4 linked regions of the Coturnix japonica genome follow. The protein of the gene in region 3 purifies or fractionates together with the protein of the main gene of each other region. This does not show direct contact. Links are inferred from orthologs where the notes say so. Each region holds a gene or a part of one and is shown on either strand. Other genes may lie near its edges.

Region 1 (5,188 bases), on a different chromosome or scaffold from region 3:
CTACGTAATTTAATGCTGCTAAAAATAGTAGCAATAAAATTAAACTGTTTTTTTTTCTTTCCATACCTTGCTTAAAACATTGGTTGGTTTATTTCCAGTGAAATGGTAGCGGAATCTTTTCTGCAGAGGATTCAGCATGATCTGTATTGGGAGGATAACAGGTGGTGATGGAGGTAAGGAGTACTTTTCTGGCAGCTGTTTGGGTTTGGTTAACAGCTCATCTCTAAGTTTGACAGTCAAGGAGAAATGCTGAATTTCTCTGTAAGTATCATTTAAATACAATGGGTTTACAAAAACAAATACGTTTTAGCTCTACCTCACTGTCCGAAGGCACACAAGCTATAAAATGCCTCCAATTTGAACAATGCTCAAAACGTTTCAGTTTTATAAAATATTTAACATAACTCTGGCTGCTAATTATTATTTATTCAATGACAATTTAAGTCACTGAAGTCAGTATGGTTTAGGAAATCACTATCATGAAAAGAAACAGAACCCCATCATCATTCCCAAACCTGTACCCAAGAGACATCCATCCATGTTTCGTAAAGGACTATCAAAGATTCATTAAAATAATACTTGCAATATGTGATTTCCCACCTTGGTGCAAGTAGCCTGGTCTAACCAACCAGAATTGTTCCAGCGCCACGTTGCATAACATGACCACATTTATTCCTGTTTTGGGTTTTGTTTGTTTGGGAAAAAACAAAAAGAAAAGAAAGAAAAAAAAGCCTGAGTTTTATCTCTGCCTGATTTTACCCTCAAACTAAAGGAACAGGATGAGCAGCATCTTCTGATTTACCTCAAAGGCAGATCAGGATCGCAGAATAGAACCACAGAATCACCAAGGTTGAAAGATTCCCAAGATCATCCAGTCCAACCACCCACCTACCACCAATATTCTTCCACTAACCCACGTCCCTTAGTACAACACCTGAATGTTTCTTGAATACCTCCATGGACAGTGACTCCACCACCTCCCTGGGCAGCTCATTCCCATGCCTGACCACTCTTTCAGAGAAAAAATTGTTCCTAATATTCAACCTCAATCTCCCCCGGCACAACTTGAGACAGTTCCCTCACCCTATCACCAGTTACACCAATCTCCATTCAAGCAGTTGTAGAGAGAGCTGAAGTCTCCCCCGAGCCTCTTCTTCTCCAGACAGAACAATCTCACTTCCCTCAGCCATTTCTCACAAGACTTGCGCTCCAGACACCTCAACAGATTTGTTGCCCTTCTCTGGACACACTCCAAGGCTTCAGTGTTTTTCTTGTGGTGAATGGCCCAAAACTGAACAAAGTACTCAACGTGCAGCCTCACCAGAGCTGAGTACAGGGGTACAATCACTTCCCTGCTCCTGCTGGCAACACTATTTCTTACACAAGCCAGGATGCCATTGGCCTTCTTGGCCACCTGGGTGCACTGCTGGCTCATGTTTAGCTAAGCACCAACCAACACCCCCAAGGCAATTTTCTTTACACTTTTAAAGGATACGATGTTTGCAATTTCAGAAGCTGGCAGAACAAAACCTCTAAATTGTTGTAAACATCAGAAGCGTTGGCTGGCGCAGTAAGGCCAAACGCCTGAGACTGCGGTGGCCCCACAAATGGCCAACGAAGCTGGGTCAGCACTTCTTCAAAGTCACTGCAACACAAAACACACACTTTACCACCAAGCTACGGCACAACATGAAATGAGGGAGTGATGAGTCGTCCTGTACCTTGACAACTTGTCCTTAAGAATTTTATGCCAAAATTTAACAGTGGATCTCACAAACGAAAGAAGATGAGAACAAGATGACTCCTGAAGTTTAATATCCAGTTCTGCCATAGACGCTAGAGTACTGGCTGCCTCCGGAACATTGTTGGTCATCAGATACTGCTGAATGTTATCACTATGAACACAAGAACATAAATACAAGAAGAGTTGAGACAAAAATTCACTAAAGATAACACAAAAGAACCATCATATTGAGAAACTGGCAGAAAACATGCTCAATCTGAAATACTTTAACGAGGTTACCACTCCCATCACATACATCCTACAGCAAGGATTCACGAAACAAGTTCTTTGTGTGAAGTTCCTTAAGTTGCCTGTCACCGAGACCTGAAGGCAGAAGGAAAGAAGGGAGGCCCGAAGTTCTTTGAAGCACTGCTCTTTATGGAACTTGTTCAAAGATCTGCTTTTCCTCACGCTTCCCAGGAGGAAAACTGGAAGCAAATTTCAGACTGCAGCACACCTGTCACATTTTCATAGCTCAGACCAAGTTGTTTCATAACTTAAGTCTCTCTGTACAAAATCTGACCCAAAGGAATCTTCCAATTTCTGACATTCTTTACAAGCATTACACAAAGTTTTCCACTGAAGGAAGCTACAAATCACATTAACTAAAACAGCACTGTTCATTCCCATTACGATAAAATCAGTGTACCAGAATGAAAACTCAGAATCACGAAGTCTGAAGCGTAACATTTCCGCTCAAGATATTCCAGTATTATTTTAGTTCTTACACCATAATTTACAGTGGGTGAAAGAGTTCCATCCACATATCGACACAGTTACTGTTCTCTTCCTTAAGCCAGAGCAATAACTTCCAGTTCTCACCAGAGAACACGTTAACAGTTTATATGGCCAGATGACAACTTGCTGCTCTCGTTTATTCCTTAAATGTGATTATTTAACACTGAATCTTTGAAGAAGCTGTGTGATACCACTAGTAAGAACTCTCCATAAGTACATCGGCTTTACCTTAACTCTTCTATTTGGGAAATCCATTTCAGATAGGCCAGGTGATGCTCAATCTCCTCCACCTGGCTGATCAGCACCCCGAGATCCTCCATCCACGGCTCAGCTTTCTCTAAGTGGCTGCTGATGGAATCGGACAGGAGAGTTTCTTCCTCTAGAAGCCGATTCAGAGATTGTTTTGAGTCCTCTGCATTCTTTAAGGCGTTCTGAATTCTTTTAGGGACTTCGGATGAAACCGTGAGAACCTGCATTTACAGACATGCATTAAGCCTCACACAGAAAAATCACACGGAGAATGAGCACAGACACTTACCTGTTCTTCCAGCTGCCTCTTGTTTTCAGACAGCTTCTCAATGAGGCTGCCCAGCTTCTTCAGAGAATCATAGTCATTCCCAACTTCTCTTTCCACAAATTCTGAAACGTAGTACGGGATATCGCAGCGATCCGGATCTCTGACGACTTCTTTCTTCGGCACATTAACGGCTGCCATGCCTTCTTTTTTTCCGCAATGTTATTTACGTAATTTCTACTTGGTTACCACTAAGGGAACACGACCAACTACCGACCTACTGAGGACACGGGGCTCCTGGGAACGCAGGGCGATTCCTCTTCACCTGAACATTAAACGAGGCCTTTAATAGCCATGCCGGCCTTTAAAACGAGGCCTTTAATAGCAATATCAAACCGCCGGCCCCGCAGCCCCTCGCTCCCCGCCCCGCCGCGTCAGCACAGCGCGGCCCAAGGCCGCACACATCACAGCCGGGGCGGGCCCAGAGGCGCATGCGCACCCGCCTCCCCCTCAGCCACCCCCATGGCCGCGCCCGCCCCTTCCACACAGCTCCCCCATAACCCCACCTCAGGGAGCACAGAGCCGGGAGCACCTTCCGTTCACGGCGTTTTATTCACACAAGCAGCACGAATTCCCTATTTGGTTTAGAATCGTTTAAAATGCAGCTTCGTTCTGCCTCCCAGCAGCAGGCTGGCTCAGCCAGGGACAGAGCGAGGCGCTACGGACTGACACACCGTTGTGTTTGGTTAACTATTCCCAGTACCTTGTCTTGGTGAAGCTGAAAATGCACACATTTTCCCCGGAAGAAGCTCGTGTTTAATTAAAACAGCTGTGCCCTGTGGCAGCACACAGCCAGCCCGGCTGACCGCAGCAGCTTCTTGGAAGCAAACAGCCATCAGTACCTTCACTCAGCTCTAATTTTCCTAATGCTGTACTTTAATATAGAGATCTCAAGGTGTGCTGAACTGATAAAAACATTCACTGCTCGCTGAAACAGAGCGAGACGAACATGTGCCCAGGTCAGAAGCCATAAGCCTGCTTCTCAGAGATGCAGCAACACAGCTCAAGCGACCTCATGGTCCATTCGTTACAAAGCACCAGTCACTAAGGCCCGTATTACATTACAACCGGCATCTTGCTAATAACTACTTAATTTAACTGCTTGCACTAATAAAAACTTAAAAAATACAAATCTCTCACTGCCACCCTTCAAAGATTTGTACAGAACGTAAGTAGGAAAACACTTTGTACATGTTAAAATCTAGGCCGTGCCAGCAGTTCACTCAGCGTAACCAGGTAGTGTTCAGCTGCGTTTGGTTTTTAATGCTTGTGTCCATCTTCAGAACTTCTCGGATCGCCATAGTGGCGTAAGTGGATGGCGGAAGGGAGAACTCCATCTTCAGTGCCCGGAATTTACCATCTATCGTAAAGAGGAGAGACAAAGCAAAAAGAAAGTAAAGAACATAAATAATGCTTACTCTGAGTGCCATCCAAACCGGACCAAAGTTTTCCACCGCCATCCCTGATCTCATACAACAGCCTCGACCACCACACCCCAGTCTACAATCCATAGTGTAAAGCAGAATGTTGTAAACCATCTTCCATTTAACATTTTCTTTCAGCGGGAAGTGATATTCTAAGCCTTCACCAAAAACTAGATGGGTGGTTTTGTCAGACTGAACTCCCACCCACTCTTCTTTTTTGTCTGGAGCCCACTGTTGGAAGACCTTGTGACCAAAGCTACTGGAAAGATTTACACTGAATTCTGTTAAGTATCTAAGTGGTCTGTTATGCTCAGCACAGATAAACATTCAAGCATAGCAACACTGTGGCTCACTTCCACTTTTTCTTTACACGTTCCATAGAGATTTACTGCTAGATGCTAATTTGATTGTACAGATATATTCAATTTACCTGTAGGAAGAACTGGTAAAGGTTTTCCTTCCAGCTTATCCAAGTCCGTAGTAAATAATGGGATTCTAGGATCATCATATGCGACGACTTCCCTACGTAACATACATAGGATTTATTATTATTAGTCAAATTCAGCAGTTACAATAATGCAACTGAGATGGAATTGTTGTATATTAAAGTAGAGAAGATGGTATTTATCTTGCAATGACTGGTAAAGCTTTATGTACAAAACTTGCCTC
Region 2 (4,731 bases), on a different chromosome or scaffold from region 3:
CCAGTTGGGCACACTGATGGCTCATATTAAGCTGGCTGTTAACTAATAACCCCATATACTTTTTCCCCACAAAGTCTTCCAGTCACACTCCAAAACAATAAAACCAGAGACGTTAAAGCATCTTAATTTGTTTCTACCACTTAGAAAATGTCAAGTTAATCTGATGACTGTCAGTTTTCTCTCAGAGAGTGGTCAGGCACTGGAATGGCTGCCCAGGGAGGTGGTGGAGTTGCCATCCCTGGCAGTGTTCAAGAGGCTGAATAGGGAGCTAGGAGATCTGGTTTAGTGTTTTTCTGTAGGTATGGTAAAGGGAGGATGGTTGGACTAGATGATCTTGTAGGTCCTTTCCAACCTTGTGATTCTATGATTTGAACCAAAAAAAAGATGAGGAAAATACTCCACAAACAGTCATCTACAGTTTTGTTTATTAGTACATGAATTTTACTTTGTCCTGTTAATGTAATGAAGCTAAGACTCTTTACAAAGCTAATGAACAAATGCCAGATGACTTAACAGCAATAAGAACAGAAATTACTACTTCTGTTCTCTGATTAGTATCTCTGCTGATTATACTATCAGAAATATAATGTTTCGGAGATAAAGATATAGATATTATACATTCAACGTATTCCACAACAGCACCGGAGTCATTTTCAGTATTGATCTCTCCACATGCCTATGAGATTTTGTGACAGATAGGATGACTGGGAAAAAAAAAAATTAAAATCAGCATATATTTCTCTTGATATCCTGGAAGATTTTACACCACCACACACTGGTAGGTTGTGCCGTTTGACAATGCTCACCTGCTGGATTATTTTTTCTCATGCCAAAACAATCAAACAAAAAAACTATGTTTGATTCTACAGAAGAGCTTTAGTTACAGGCTGGATTTGATGCAAGTTTCATTATTCAGCCTTTGCTATGGATACCAAACTAACCTTTCCATATAGCTCTACAATACCTGGAAATTTCTTAACAGCAATATATTTGCAGTTATGATTTATTCCCAGGAAACAATCTAATGCTGCATGTGAAGACAAGATTACACTAGAGAAAGCACATTGATAGAAATTTCTCCTTGGAGATATTTTCTAATTTCAGATAAAAGCTCTAAGTCCTCCAGATCAGGCCTTCAGTTAAATTAACAAGATGACTCTCTCTCTTACATTTACACTCTCTTACACTTACAGGACAGCTCTCTGAACTGCCACTAGTTTATGCTGCATAAATTAGAACACAATGGAGATTTCTGCAAAGATTACACAGCAACTCTAAAAATAAAATATAAAAATAAAAATGCTGAAGTCATAAAAACAAACCCACCAAATAGTCTTGAATTGAAGCAACATTAACAGCTGACTTCCTCCACTGCCTTTGATACACAAGATCAGAATCAAGGCCATATGCCTGAGCCAAAGACAGAGCTTCCTCATATTCTTCATTATCAATCTAAAAAGCAAACACATGAAAATGAAAGTCAATATTAAACAATCAATAATTAATTCTCTGTGTTAAAACAGGTAGAGGGATAATTACTATGGGTGTGCTTACGCACGTAGGAAAGCAAACATAATGTACGATTAGAATATGTAGAACTCCTAACTCAGGCCAGATAGTAACCTCTAGGAAAACCACAAACTTCCCAGTAAGAAGGAAAGAAGCTGTGTAGGCAATCACTACAACAGCAGCACCCCCTGAAAACTCTAATAGCTATAGTTTTAGCTTATCATTAGAAGAACTGAAGTGTCCTAAACAAAGTACTGCCTTCAAAATAAAGACACATCTCTTATGCGATAAAAGTGAGTCACAAGACTACTTTGTATGCATGGCACGTCTCAAAAAACATTCATATAATAGCAATATCAAGGTATAGATTAACCCATTCCCTAGATAATAACAAGCTAAATTAATTTAATTCGATATATCCACCCATTCTTCCATTGTTTTTAAACACATTAGCACAACGAGTCTGGCCACACTAATGAAACATGATGACCAGCAAACATCCTGTTACTTCAATTACAATGCTGGTTTTACCTAACTTATGTTAGGTAACATGATACACTGCTGTCTATGAGGCCCTTAGAAATACGCACCTAGTGTTAAAATAGCAAGTCTTAAAAAATAAGAAGAAGAAAAAAATCTGTTCAATTAAAGCTCCTTACCAGAGATGGAATCTTCCCTTTTATACTCACTTTTCTCTGGTAAAGTTCCTCTGGAGTCGTGGACCTTAAGCTAACAAGGCGGAAATTCTTTGTAATTGTACGTGGACGTTTCCGTGGAGGAGCAAATCGTTCCATTTCTGTCACAAAATATAGGCCTTGCTTCAGGTAGCTGAAGTATCTGTCCTTAGCAGAATTTTCATCATCTGAGTCAGAGTCATCTTCTCCCTCATCTTCATCACCAGGTCTGCTCTCCAAGCGTAGTCTTTTTGGAACTAGTTTTATTTCACACTGCACAGAAGACAGTTCTTAAGGGTAAAATAGAAAGTTTCCACACAGTATATCTTTGTGACAATGAGGTACATGTCCACTTCCAGTACTTCAAATTTCACAGAATCACACAGAATCACAGAATTGTAGGGGTTGGAAGGGACCTCTAGAGATCATCAAGTCCAACCCCCCTGCCAAAGCAGGCTCCCTACACCACATCACACAGGTAGGCGTCCAGGCAGGCGAGTCTTAAATATCTCCAGAGAAGGAGACTCCACCACCTCCCTGGGCAGCCTGTTCCAGTGCTCCGTCACCCTCACTGTAAAGAAGTTCTTCCGCACATTTGTGTGGAACTTCCTATGCTGTCGTTTCATCCCATTACCCCTAGTCCTATCCCCACGCACTACTGAAAAGAGACCAGACTCACCACTATGTCTCCCACACCTCAGGTATTTATAAACCTGGATCAAGTTCAATTTCAAAATCAACATTTTTTCGCTTGTAAACCCTTTACTTCTCAGCTTGAGTAATACTCTCCACAAGCCCTGACTGGGTCTGTCTTCTAGATCTGAGGTTTCATCACTTTCTTACTAAAGCAAGGGCAAAGGCTTCTTATCAGTAGTCCATTATTATACTAGATACACTCAATCCTATACCATCCACAGACAGTACAGATCTACTGTTTACAGATCTATATTTAATCTCAGTATAATTATACAGCTTACTTCAGAGTGTAACAATGTTTTCAACTATTAGCTAAGCAAATTATGGATTCCTGTTCAATGCAGATCTATTTCCAAACTGTTCTTCCATAGGCTGTAACATGCCAGTCACTGGCTCTATTTCATTTCTTAAATAACAAAACTTGCCAGAAATGTGCGCAAAAAGCTCTGGTATGTACTCAGCTATTTCAGCTAAATATTTAAGATGTTTAAGATCTATTCTAGTGTAAGCATTCTTATTTTCAAAGAAAATTCCTGGTCTACTTCATTACCAAAGTTATGTTCTACTCCTGCCTAGAACCCTATTAAAGGTGAATAAAAAACAGATCCCTTCCAAGGCTTGGTCAATTACGATTTATTCCTTGCTTCCCGTAAACATACTCCCTCTGCAAGCATCTGTTTCAAAACAAGAGGGATGCTTGAAGTATTCTTCAAATGCACTAACAAAGCAGTTTCTTGTTTTGTTTTGGTTTTTTTAAGTGAGCTGACACAAACTGTTTCCTGCAGCAAAACTTTTTAATTCAGATGCAGGCTTCCAGAAGTTTTCCATCTACACTTGGCAATTACTTGTTAAGTGCAATTGCCACGTTACTTGGCAATTAAGTTTTTTATAGATATCTGAATTGCAGGAGGTTCAGAATTGCCTGCCTAGAGATAAAGAATCACTTTTCTTATTAATAAGCACATATATGCATGCAACATACACAACAGAACACTGCTTCTACTGCATTCCTTATATTTGCTTATGTGCATTCCTCACCTCCAGACTCAGAAATCCTCCATCGTGAGCTGAAGTGACCTGAGGAGAACTCTCAAACCACTCACATGACTTTCCCAGCAAGTTTCTTAATGTCTTGGCTGATGACACAGTCAATGCACCAGAGCAACGAGCCAGGATCACAGAACTATCTGCCCACCAATTTACATCTATCAGTGGGTAATAAGATTCTTTATCTGAAATAAAGAAATAAGAAAGCACCATATAAGGAAAGGCAATTTTAAACACCAGATAAGAACTGCAGTGGCTTCAACTATTAAGAGTTAACATCTGATGGTCTAAATTTAACAAGCATTTATTATTTTATATACATTCTTGGTTCACTGAATTTGTATTTTATGTCTGCTAGTTTAGTGAAACCATTCCAGTTAGCTGAAGGATAGGAGGGAAGGGGAGGGAAGAAGAAACTTAATTTTTTATTTAATCTGTTTGCTTTTTAATATAATTTGGAAAAAGAATTCACAATAAACTGATTCACTTGCATAAAACTTGACAAATCTTAGATGGCTGATAAACGCCTCCTTAATATTTCCCTAGACATCCTTGGTCAAGTCTCTCTAACCAAGATCATTATATTGATGAAACAAAAAAGGTTTCACTGCTTTTGAGGAAAACTGACAACTGTGAACAAGGCTCCTGAAACAGCCCACAGGGTGACACTATTAAGAAAATTAAAGTGCCAACAAGATTAAAAAAACAGCATAATGAGGAAGGAAACTGTGTCACCTGCATGGTAACTGGACGCTGGGACAAAATGTTCACCACAAAGAGCTAGCTTAATTTGTTTAATATATTA
Region 3 (5,328 bases):
AATTGCCATCAGTCAGCATCAGTACTTGCAGCAGCAGCAACACACAACAGTATGTGAACACACCCAATGGACAAGCAAAACGTTTTGCTTAAGCCAGAGCAGTAAATCAGCATGAATCAGTTGGGGTTAAAGAGAGTGAAAAAGCAGCATGGAACAGCACGAGCTCCTTTGTGATTCTGTCTACAAATTAGGAACATTTGTTATGGTTATCCCTTTTTGACAACAGTTCTTTTTGTTTGTTCGTTTTCCTTCTCAAAAAGAGAAAATCGACTGCAGATGGATATTAATTAGTCTTGATTAAAGACAGAATTTGAGAGCCTGCCAAAACAGCAAGATGGAACATCGGTCCTTTCCAGCTTTGTTTTCCCTGAGCCAACTGACCAAGAAAATCCCTGAGCCACTGCAGCCTTCCTTTCACATTACTGAAGGACAGAAAGGAAAAGTTCACTAACTTCCTCTCTCATCCATAACAGAACGCATGAAGAGCAAGTGTTGGTGTAGTATTCCACACTGAACTGATTGAATAAAAAAAGGTCGAACTTCCCCTGTGCTGTCTGGCTCATCAAAACAAGCACAGTGGAATTACTGCTGCAGTATTTTGCAAACCATTATGTCCCATCTTAAAGGGACATTTTGTCTAAATGAAAATAGAAAACCCGCTGCTTCCATTGCTGATGACAAAGCAAAGCCTCCCAGCCGCATGCATTCACTGCATACTAGGATACGACTTGCCCAGAAAACAAGGAAATTGTTACTGCTGATTCAGAATCTGCAGCTGGGATTTGTAAATGATCTTTCCCTCAATAAACTCCAAGCAATGCTCAGTCAGAAACAGGGCGACAAAGAGTCTGCCAAACTGTCTTTTTAATGGGACAAGAAACATGCTACTTTTGTATGAACAAACTGGGCCCAGCTGCCATCCTCAGATGGGGTCAGGAAACCCCCAGAAGAGGGTGAAGGTTGTGGCATTGATCCCAGCCCTTACACTGCTCTCTCTTCTGCTCAACAGCACAGCTAGTGAGAGGCCAAGAGTACAGAGAGCCAAATGGTTCATGAATCACTGATTTTGAGAGGTCACTTGATTTATCTTCTTAGGAGTCTAAGCCAAATAACTGACTAAAGTCTTGGTTTCACAGTCCCTGATGCACAGCGGACAGAACAAGTGACCTCGGGTTCAAGTCACTCAACTGCCTTGTCTCTTAGTCATCCCAGCTGGAGACGGGGTGAAAACAGCCTTCCTACTCAGACTGTTTTCTCTACATATGGACTTGTACCTGTGCTCTTTACTCCTCTGTTGCCAAACGCATGTCAGGACAGTAGCACAGAGTAATATCATACACACTGCTAACTCTGTGAGAATTCACACCCCTTCCACAACTGCTTTCATATAAAATTGAGTTCTACAAACATTAAACAAGAACTCCAGCAAAAAAAACTTCATGCAACATACAACAGTATTTCTGTTCAAATGTTAGAGGAGATCTGCTGAACAACCCCTGAATTACCATCAGAGCAAGCTCTCCTAATGCAATGTGTATTTCCACCATGCTCTGCATCATGACAGCTTGGCTCCCCTCACCCTAACAGAACAGTTGAAAGGTTCTTCAGCCATGCAACCCACACCCCAAAGCCCAGCTCCATCTGTACCCAGGGTCTGCACAGTCTCCTCGCTCTGCTGGACTTGCTGTGACATCATCCTACTGATGCTCATCAGACTCTCCGTGATGTTACTTGCACTTTCTGCCAGACTTTCCTTTGTAGTCTTCCTGAAAAAGCAAAAGAAGAAAACACTCAGGGATAGAACAGTGTCTTTGGTACAGCAGGAACGCGCAGCTGTGCTCTGTGTACAAAAGATACAAGCAAGTTTTACTGCATGAGAACTGGAGATAATCTTTGCTGAACTACTGAAGAGAAATCACCAATTACTGAAGCCATCAACCTGAACAACTGCGGCTCAGAGTCTCACAGAGCTCATGCTGTAGCAGTCATTCAGCCACGATGGCACAGCTTCATAAGGTGACATGGAAGCACTGATACAAACTACCATTTCATCTCCTCAGCTATCCTCCTTGCTGCTCCACAACACCAACCTTGTCAACTTCTCCATTCAGGAGTTATACAAACTTATATCCACATCTACAAAGGAAAACAACTTGCACAGTGATCCACTACTTGCTTATGACCCTGGCAGGAATTAATAAAAAAGAAAATCACAAAAGTTATGAGGCCTACCACAATTTCACCTCTGCTTTGACATGCAAACACTAAAAAAGCCCTGGAATTATGACAATTCTTCACAGTTTAAGCCTTCATAATTAGACAACAGCATTCCATTACAATAAAAGCTATAAAAGCTACTTTCTGAGTACAATCCAATCACTTCAAGCACATCACATTGCTTTCATTGGTACTAGTGAGTATGGCAACATTGTTTAAGTCTCACATCATTCAAGGGGACACTTTAATACCTTTGTCTTAAGGAGTCTCTTCCCTGCAGCAGCTGATCTTTCTCAGAGTTGTCGATAGCGATTTTGCAAGCCAGATTTGCTTTTCTCCAAGCTGCCTGATTGCTGAAATCACAAGAGCACAATGTTGCAGTGCGATGGCAACACCCTGTAAGCAGAAATCACTTTCACAGAGCAGTCACCATAACTAAGATCCATGTATGCACATAGACTTTCTCTGCATTATACCACTGAGTGACAGTATGTTGTTCTTTCATTTCCTAAGTGTATCATTCCAGGCTTAGTCACTCAAACGGACAGACCTGCTCAGAGAGCCAGGAAGGAGATGGGAGCCCTCCTCTTTCTGTCCCTGATCACAGAATCACTTGGGTTGGAAGGGGCCCTTTAAAAGCCATCTGGTCCAACCCCCTGCAATGAATAGGGACTCCCACAGTTCTAGAGCCCCTCCAGTTCTGACCTTGGGTGTCTGCAGGGATGGGGAACAACCACTTCTCTGGGTAACCTGTGCCAGGACCTGCTCTTGGTCTTAATAAAGGCAGCACCGTGTCACTGACTGGGTCTGCTAAAGAGGAACTGAAAGAGCACCCTGAAGGCAGCTACCTCTGAGGACTGGGTGCACCTGTACACAACACAGCCTACAAAACACGGCCTACCTGAGCATTTGCTTTTTATGGTTCTCCACTTCCTGCAGCAAGGCCTGTTTCTCCGACTCTTTATCTTGCTCCCTCGCCATCTGTTCCAGCTCCTTGGACAAAAAAACGGGAATAATATCAGGCTGACCGCTGCCACCTGCAGCTCCAAGGGAAGGGAGCGGAGCTGCAGCGGCCCCGAGGGGAGCCCAGGGGGGCTTCAAGCAGCACAACCCCACCTGGATGCGGCCTCGGAGGTGCCGGAATTTCTCCTTCACCGCAGCGTTGAGCTCCGTGAGGGCGCTGAGCGGCCCCGGGCAATCCCGGATATCCTGGAAGACAACGGCACGGCCTAAAGCACTACGTGGCAAGCAGGGCCAAGCAGCGGGAGCCTCGCAACCCGCACCGAAGGGTTCCTTCGTCTAAAGGGGGCTCCGAGGGCGGCTCTACCTGCACGGCCGCCTTGATCTCCAGGTCGAATTTGACGATCTCCTGGTGACACACCCGCACAGGCACCGAGCCGGCCGCCGCCATCTTGGGAATGGAAAGGCGGGACATGGAGCGCCCCCTGCTGGCCCCCACAGCCCGCCCGTCATCCAGTGTGTGGAAATAGGAAAGGCCTCAGGCCCCCACAGGATCCATCCCACAACACAACACACAAACACACGCGATGATTTCAGACAGTGTTTCCTCCACGATTTTTATTTTAAATTACAAAGGATGTCGCGTACATTGATGAAATTTTGAGTCTGAATAGAAGTTGCGAGGGACCGAGGAGGTGTGTGGGGAACAGGGAACAAAGTCAATGGTGGGATTGTGCCTCTTTTCAATAAAATAAAAATAAAAATAAAGATCGCACAGCTATTAACCAACATCTAACAGCGCAGCTCTGAACAGATCATGCTTTGAACAGGAGAGTTTATTTCCTAACAGAGACACGACTTTCATGGAGTTTCTCTGAGCTCCCATTGGAAGCCAGTGATGGAGGATGCCATGTTTTGCCTTTTCCACCCTCGTGCCATCAGCCTTCGTGTTCACCCGAGCACAGATACCGAACAATGAAGTTTGAGGTCACTTCTCAAAGGAGAAAGTACAATATGAAAGATCAGTACAATTAAATGCTACTCCCGGGGTCAGTTCTTAATTGAGAGGTTTTCCCTCGGGTGGATTGTGCTTTTGTCAATACAAAATCCAGCACAGAAAGTTTTCCTTCCTGTAGATGGATAAACACCCAAACTTGACTTATCCAGACATGGAATGAGCAACTACCCGCAGGGAAGCATTGGAACACTGGTGTTATCCAAAAAGCCTTTCATTTTTATGAAGAAAGATTGTGGCTTAAGATAGTTCTGGTTCCACTTTTAGCTCCTCTGCTCATTAGAAAGACAACAAATGCACTGCCAGCATTTAGTCCTGTGGAAGTTCACGGATGTCTACGAGGCTGAGGGCTGTAAAACAATGCACACACATGCCTTTGCTACATGTGAGGAGCACTGGGGAAAAACACGGCACGTTGTGAAATGGAAATCAGACAGAGATTGAGATACTTTTGTATATTGCAAAGAAGATAGAGCCTAAAAGTGCCATCTTTCATTAACGACACGTAGGAGTCCCAATTTGTATTGGGAGATATTCAAGAGTGGTGTTTTCTCAACGTACTAATGCCCTTAATACAGTTACAAAAAGAATCAGTCACCAAAGCAGTAACTGAAATGTACTTCACACGATCCCTGGGGTAAACAAAACAGATTTCAGCTCTGTGCATGGCTGTGTCAGGAAGCCAAGACCACATCTAGCAGCACACTGAACACGGGAAGTCCAACTGAAGCCTCCGAAATAACAACGATTAGATGCATTCTTGAAATTCAGGTCTCAAGGCCAAACACAGACCCTAACATTCATGGTACACAACTGGTTACGCCTCAACAGAACCTCAGGAAGACTAGCAAGCAAGTCAGAGGAACAGAATGGCATCTGCTATTTCTGTTAAAGGCAACTTATATACAACCCTTTACAATATTCCTGATAAAGCCTCTTGCAGCTTTCAAAAATAGCTATATTTAAATCATTTATGGAAAAAAAAAAAGAAAAAGCACATCCATTCTTTGTATTTTGTGAATAAGCTGTTTTATTAACGAAGGCAAATAGCGGATAAATGTTGGGTGGGGGGGGAAACTTTTTGGATCAAAGAAGTACTGACAGCAGGTGTCTGGTTGCTTTTAGGTCAACTAACA
Region 4 (5,274 bases), on a different chromosome or scaffold from region 3:
CAAAACTACCTTGTCTCCTACATCTGTGCCTTGGTGTCGGGTCTCTATTGTGGCTAAGTGGTAGCTGAAGAGCACAGGAGAGCATTGAAAGCAAAGTCCCTTTGATACCTTCATCAGTATCAGCAGGGGTACATGAAGGGTAAAATGTGCTCAAGCCTTCCCAGGACTGAGATCAAATGCTGCTGACAGCCTGAGCAGTAAGGACTCCCTTATCTCATGGGGATGACTGCACTACCTGTAGGTAAGTTGTGAAAAAAACAAGGTCCTAACAAATAAATTCATTTTAAAGAGTTCCAGTTGTCAAAGTGAAGCACCAGCAGTCTCAAACACATAATTTACAGACAGAACACCTTCAATTCTGAATTCAAAAGCTCTCATCACCAGTTCTTCCAACAGAGAAAAGGTTCACAGCTGCATGGCAGAAGCAGACAGGCACTGCCTGCAAATTTCCCCTCATTCTAACCTCATCTGGAAGTCTCAGCTTTTGTTTCTTACATATGAGCGACTTAACCTCCTAGATTGCAACTGAAGAGTTCAGCATTGTCACACACGCTACCTGGTTGTCTTGCTTTATCACGTTCTGAGCAGCCAAAGTGTTGTTTTTGAGACTGCGAGCCAAACTCAGCATTTCCTCCGCTAACTTCTCCTGCATGTCTTGATGGTGCTGTAACACAGCATCCAGCTCCACTGCTGACTGCTTCTCATCAGACACAAGGCCTCTGCAAGAGCACAAGGAAAGAAGAATAGGGATTTGTACTTATGGGGAACCACTGGGAGGTCAGCTCAGGTTGTACAACTCTGACAGAACAACACGCACTTCACCCAAATGGGAACGTATCTGTGATTTAAGGTCATTGGGAAAGGCAGTCCCAAGGCACGGAGCATCAAAATAAGGAATTCTGACTTACTTCCGCTTCCTTACATTCAGCTCCTCAGAATCTGGAACAAAAATAAATGCTGTTTTAGCATATTACTCAACACTGCACAATCACAGGCTGATAAAACAAGTTCCTTGAAAGATTTTCTTTCCCAGAGATGTAATCCCAGTTGGCCTGGTTCTACACCAGGGAACGTGGATTTCAAACGTCTGTTTTCCACCAGGAAAAGACAGTACATAACAGCAAACGTTTGGTTGGGAGAATAAAACACCTGAGATGAATCACTTCCCTGAGGGCTCGGCTTCGCCCATGGGCTGTGCTGTTCTCTTCCAGGACACTCAGACTGGCCTCATTCCAGCCACTGTTACAGTAGCTATGGAAACCACAAATTAAATCCTACCAGTTCCCTACGTGAATAACGTGGCTGTATGTTAGCTCCTGAGATCACACGGTTTGCTCACAGCAGAAGAGAACGTTGGCAATGACAAACACAAACCCTCCTTGCTAATGCTACAATTGAAACACCTGTTTCAGCATGAATTCCTGCAAGTCTCCTCTGCTGTACAGGTAACACTGCTCATGTTCTCACCTATTCAGTGTTTCTTTTATATCTTATATCTTATATCTTGACAAGAAGTGAGTCAGTAATTTAGAAATACACCTCTAACACCTGACTTTCCTCTTTCTTTACTCATAAAATTCAGGTCAATTAAAGAAAAGGAGATTGAACTTACCACTGAGAGCCAAGGGATCCTGGGAGGCAGGAAGAGAAACAAAAGAAAAGATTACAAAGGGCCAGTGAAAAGGTTCATGAGGAACAATCACATGGAATCACAGATTCAAGGGCCTCCATGCACAGTATGGCACCTGTGCCCAGTATTTAGGTTATCCATAGGAAAAACAAAAGGTGACTCCACCCCCAGCCTAGGATGTACCTGAGGCACAGCCACCAAAGGCAACCAAATGTCATAAGAGACCATCTATAAAGTAATAGTAGAGAAGCAGCAGCACCAGAACATACTGTACCAAGCAGCTCACTCCTCATCTTGCCTGTGCAACGAGCCTTGGTCTGCAGATGAACCGTTTTGGAAGCTGGGGTTCTCTCCTTGATCGTAGTAGGAGTACGCCCAGGGGCTAAGAACTGATTTGCCAGTGCCTTTTCAGTTGATGAAGACTGTAAGTAAGAAGAACCAACGAGAAAGAGTCACAAACATCATTCAGTAGCGTAAGGCCACCTGGATGTATGGCCAATGAGGATTTAGGGAGCACTTCCACAGCTGCTGGAATGGCTGTGGAATTTTGCAAACTACAGCTTGGAGAAGGAAGGAAGAAGTTTCAGACTTCACACAATACCCTCTTTCAACAAAATACAATATATTTATTCACTCTTGTCGAGAATTGCCTGATAAGATTTTAACAAGTGTTATCTTGGGATGTAAGATAAAAGCAAGCGTAGGAACAAGGCAACAAGGAGAGTTTAAGAGGAGAATATCTCTTAAGTTTTTCCAAGGTAAACTAACATATCTTACCAGTTTTTCAGCTTCCAGAAGTCCCTTTAGAAAGTCTACTTTACGTGTGTATTCATTGAGCAGTTCTGGGGCAGGCTTGCTATTAGAATTGGGAAAAAAAAACATGTGAAAAGCAGTAAAGCATTACCAATTTCCATTGTTTAGAAAAGTCTTCAAATCAAATTAATCAACGTGGGCTTTTTCAAGAAAGAAATAGACTCAAGTTGGGAGCATACCTGCACCCCCTCAAACCACCTTGCCGAGGCACTGTGACTGCAGCAGCTCAGGACACAGCCAAGCAGAGGAACACTGTGCAGAGCCGAGGCTGACAAGGAGAATGAAGCGTGTATGTGAACATGGCACAGCTGTGCAACTGCCTGATGCACTCGGGTCAGTGCAACCCCAGATACGTGAACAGACTGGGTGAAGAACGCTCTAACAGCGGCCCTACCGAGGAGCTGTGGGTGCTGGTAGATGACAAACTGAATGCAGACCAGCAGTGTGTGCTTACAGCCTGAAGGGCCAACGGCATCTTGGGCTGCATCAATGGGGGATGGGAGGGGTGGCTCAGGGCATGGAGGGAATTGTCTCCCACTGCTCTGCTCCTGTGAGGCCCCATTTGGAGGACTGTATCCTCCAGCACAGGAAAGACATGTAACTTCTGGAATACATCCACAGGAGGGCCACGGTGACACCAGAGAGCACAAAGTATGGTGAAGGAAGTAAGGCTCTGAGGAAACCTCACTGTGGCCTCCCAGTACTTAAAGTGAGGCTGCAGACAGTGTCAGGACAAGGGGGAATGGTTTTAAAACCATCAGAACTCCAAGATATCACACAGGGAGGTTTTTATACTAATAGGGCAGTGAGGCCCCAACGCCACGATGTGATCCTGGCAGCCCTCACCTGCACTGCTTCTTCAGCTCCCGCAGCATGTCCTCCAGGGCGGCCACGTACTGAGAGAGAAAGGAGAGAGAGAGAAAGGAGTCAGCATTGCGGATAGATATTAATATTAATCCCGGCAGAAGCCGCAGCACGGCTGACAGCGCAATGGGGTTTAACGCCCTGACACCGGGCTACCTCTGTTTATTCCGAGGAGCAGAATGATGCTGCTGAAGGCCGAGGGCTGTTCCCGGCCAGTCCCTCCCCAACACAAGGCCGGGCCGCCCCTCACCTTCTCCAGCCGCCACTCCTCGGGATCCCGCCGCTCCGCCGCCAGCGCCTCGCACCGGCTCAGCAGCCGGATCAGATTCAGCTCCAGCCGCGTCGCCGCCATTGCGAACAGCCGGCACCGGAAGCCACCTCAGCACCGCTTCCGGGCGGCGCCATCTTAGGGCGGGGCGGGAGGTGATGGAGACGCTCGGCCGTTGTAGGCGGGGCTCCCCACACAGCACAGATACAGGCAGATAATAAACGTCGATAAATAGACACAAACTTTGGTGTATTTTTTTAAAAAGTGCAATGTATTAATGAACATTTTTGTACATTTGGTCTCAGTTAAGGCTATTACAACACGAACAGTTCTGTAAACCGCACAAAGTCGTCATAAAAACATACAAAATTAAGGCAACGTACACTGACCCACACTCACTGTTGGTCCCATTAAAGTCCACTGTAAGGCAAATGGAAGAAGGCACGGCAGCAGAAACGGGACGCTATTTTTTCTTTACCTGTACATTCATGAATAAGTTCACAGCCTTCAAAGCCTTAAAAATCTAAAGTCAACTTCAGAAAGATCCAGACAGCTTCAGTATTTCACTTCTCCGTACACACAAGGTGGGAATAAGGGTCTGAAAACCTCCGTTTTACTTTTGCTGTTGGTTCATATTCATCTAAAAGTTCCTGAGGGTGGGTCATTGCAGACCCTTGTGCAATGTAGATAGAGTGGACTTTATCAGTTCGTATTGCTGGCTGCTCCCTTCGTCTCACCACTATTGGAGACTCTTCATCAGCTGAAGCCTTGCCCTGAGATTCGGTACATTTGAAAATCCCAGGAGGAAGTTTGATGTTTGCTGTTGGCATCACTGGAGTTCGACGGGGCACCTTAATCTTGGACAGTGTAAAAGACAATCTGCGTCTTGAAGCCAGGGATGCAGACAAAGAACTTGAAGAGGTTTGCAAAAGAGAAGGCACTGTGCAAATGTCTTTGGCAGGCACGTCAGAGCTCTGAGCGCAGCACTGGACTCCAGAAATCGTAATTCCTTTAAAGAAACAATACACTGAAAGCATGCATAAGAATGTAACGTGATACAAGCAGGTGTGACCAGGTAGCATCTGGTCACCTGGCTCGATGCAGTGAAATATGTAGAATAAAAAAAGCACACACTACCTTAATACTGACCTTCGGTATCCATCCGCCCCGTTCTCTCTTCTAGCAGGCTCTCTGTGCTTGCTGAGGTCTCAGAGTCTACATTTTCCTCATCAGAGCCTCGCTGATCAAGCTCAGGTAACCGATATGTTATGTCTTCCCTACATCAGGACAGAAAGAGCACTTCTGAAATAAACGCTGCTTAAGGTTGCTCCTATCAGAGGTAAACCTTCCTGCATATAGTCATTAAATAATAATTCTCAAAGTATTTTCTCTCATCCTGGCTTTTACATTTTCACCTTCATAAAGGCCTGTAGAACATAATGAACTAACTGTAGATAGTTTTGGACAAAAAGCATAGTGCTTTGCTGTCTGTATTATACCAACCACAAAGGGCACAACAGGGTTTTTAAGGCTATGACTTACTTTTCTTCTTTTATTGACTGTATCCGATCAATGAGAATCTCCTTTTCTCGGTTATCAGCTTCAGAAACTTCCTCTTCTTCATGCAGAGAGCCCAGCTCTGAATTGCCACTGTCATTTCCTTTGACCTGTGGGCTTTTGCTCTGTAAGACAGATTTAT

Evidence for each region.
Region 1: the proteins of BNIP1 (region 3) and RINT1 purify together in Homo sapiens (co-immunoprecipitation; 3 studies listed by BioGRID and IntAct, counting the BioPlex papers as one, with this or other methods). This does not show direct contact. The link is inferred for Coturnix japonica from reciprocal best matches to the Homo sapiens genes BNIP1 and RINT1.
Region 2: the proteins of BNIP1 (region 3) and NBAS purify together in Homo sapiens (co-immunoprecipitation; 3 studies listed by BioGRID and IntAct, with this or other methods). This does not show direct contact. The link is inferred for Coturnix japonica from reciprocal best matches to the Homo sapiens genes BNIP1 and NBAS.
Region 4: the proteins of BNIP1 (region 3) and USE1 purify together in Homo sapiens (co-immunoprecipitation; 4 studies listed by BioGRID and IntAct, counting the BioPlex papers as one, with this or other methods). This does not show direct contact. The link is inferred for Coturnix japonica from reciprocal best matches to the Homo sapiens genes BNIP1 and USE1.

Annotation. Positions count from the first base shown.
Region 1 is NC_029516.1:12,588,709-12,593,896, reverse strand, and holds the start of RINT1 (RAD50-interacting protein 1), read right to left. Parts: upstream 3,398-5,188; 5' UTR 3,237-3,397; coding exon 3,060-3,236; intron 2,992-3,059; coding exon 2,750-2,991; intron 1,896-2,749; coding exon 1,722-1,895; intron 1,646-1,721; coding exon 1,496-1,645; intron 224-1,495; coding exon 67-223; intron 1-66. Other genes in the region: PUS7 (pseudouridylate synthase 7 homolog), read right to left, coding at 4,319-4,455, 4,950-5,041. UniProt on the Homo sapiens protein: Involved in regulation of membrane traffic between the Golgi and the endoplasmic reticulum (ER); the function is proposed to depend on its association in the NRZ complex which is believed to play a role in SNARE assembly at the ER.
Region 2 is NC_029518.1:90,213,572-90,218,302, forward strand, and holds part of NBAS (neuroblastoma-amplified sequence), read right to left. Parts: intron 4,112-4,731; coding exon 3,918-4,111; intron 2,457-3,917; coding exon 2,199-2,456; intron 1,453-2,198; coding exon 1,327-1,452; intron 1-1,326. UniProt on the Homo sapiens protein: Involved in Golgi-to-endoplasmic reticulum (ER) retrograde transport; the function is proposed to depend on its association in the NRZ complex which is believed to play a role in SNARE assembly at the ER. Required for normal embryonic development.
Region 3 is NC_029528.1:11,061,346-11,066,673, reverse strand, and holds the start of BNIP1 (vesicle transport protein SEC20), read right to left. Parts: upstream 3,679-5,328; 5' UTR 3,653-3,678; coding exon 3,545-3,652; intron 3,427-3,544; coding exon 3,119-3,426; intron 2,571-3,118; coding exon 2,469-2,570; intron 1,767-2,468; coding exon 1,648-1,766; intron 1-1,647. UniProt on the Homo sapiens protein: As part of a SNARE complex may be involved in endoplasmic reticulum membranes fusion and be required for the maintenance of endoplasmic reticulum organization. Also plays a role in apoptosis.
Region 4 is NC_029543.1:3,206,671-3,211,944, forward strand, and holds the start of USE1 (vesicle transport protein USE1), read right to left. Parts: upstream 3,714-5,274; 5' UTR 3,660-3,713; coding exon 3,558-3,659; intron 3,340-3,557; coding exon 3,290-3,339; intron 2,487-3,289; coding exon 2,408-2,486; intron 2,053-2,407; coding exon 1,900-2,052; intron 1,632-1,899; coding exon 1,613-1,631; intron 940-1,612; coding exon 909-939; intron 720-908; coding exon 557-719; intron 1-556. Other genes in the region: MYO9B (unconventional myosin-IXb), read right to left, coding at 4,139-4,584, 4,725-4,852, 5,118-5,257.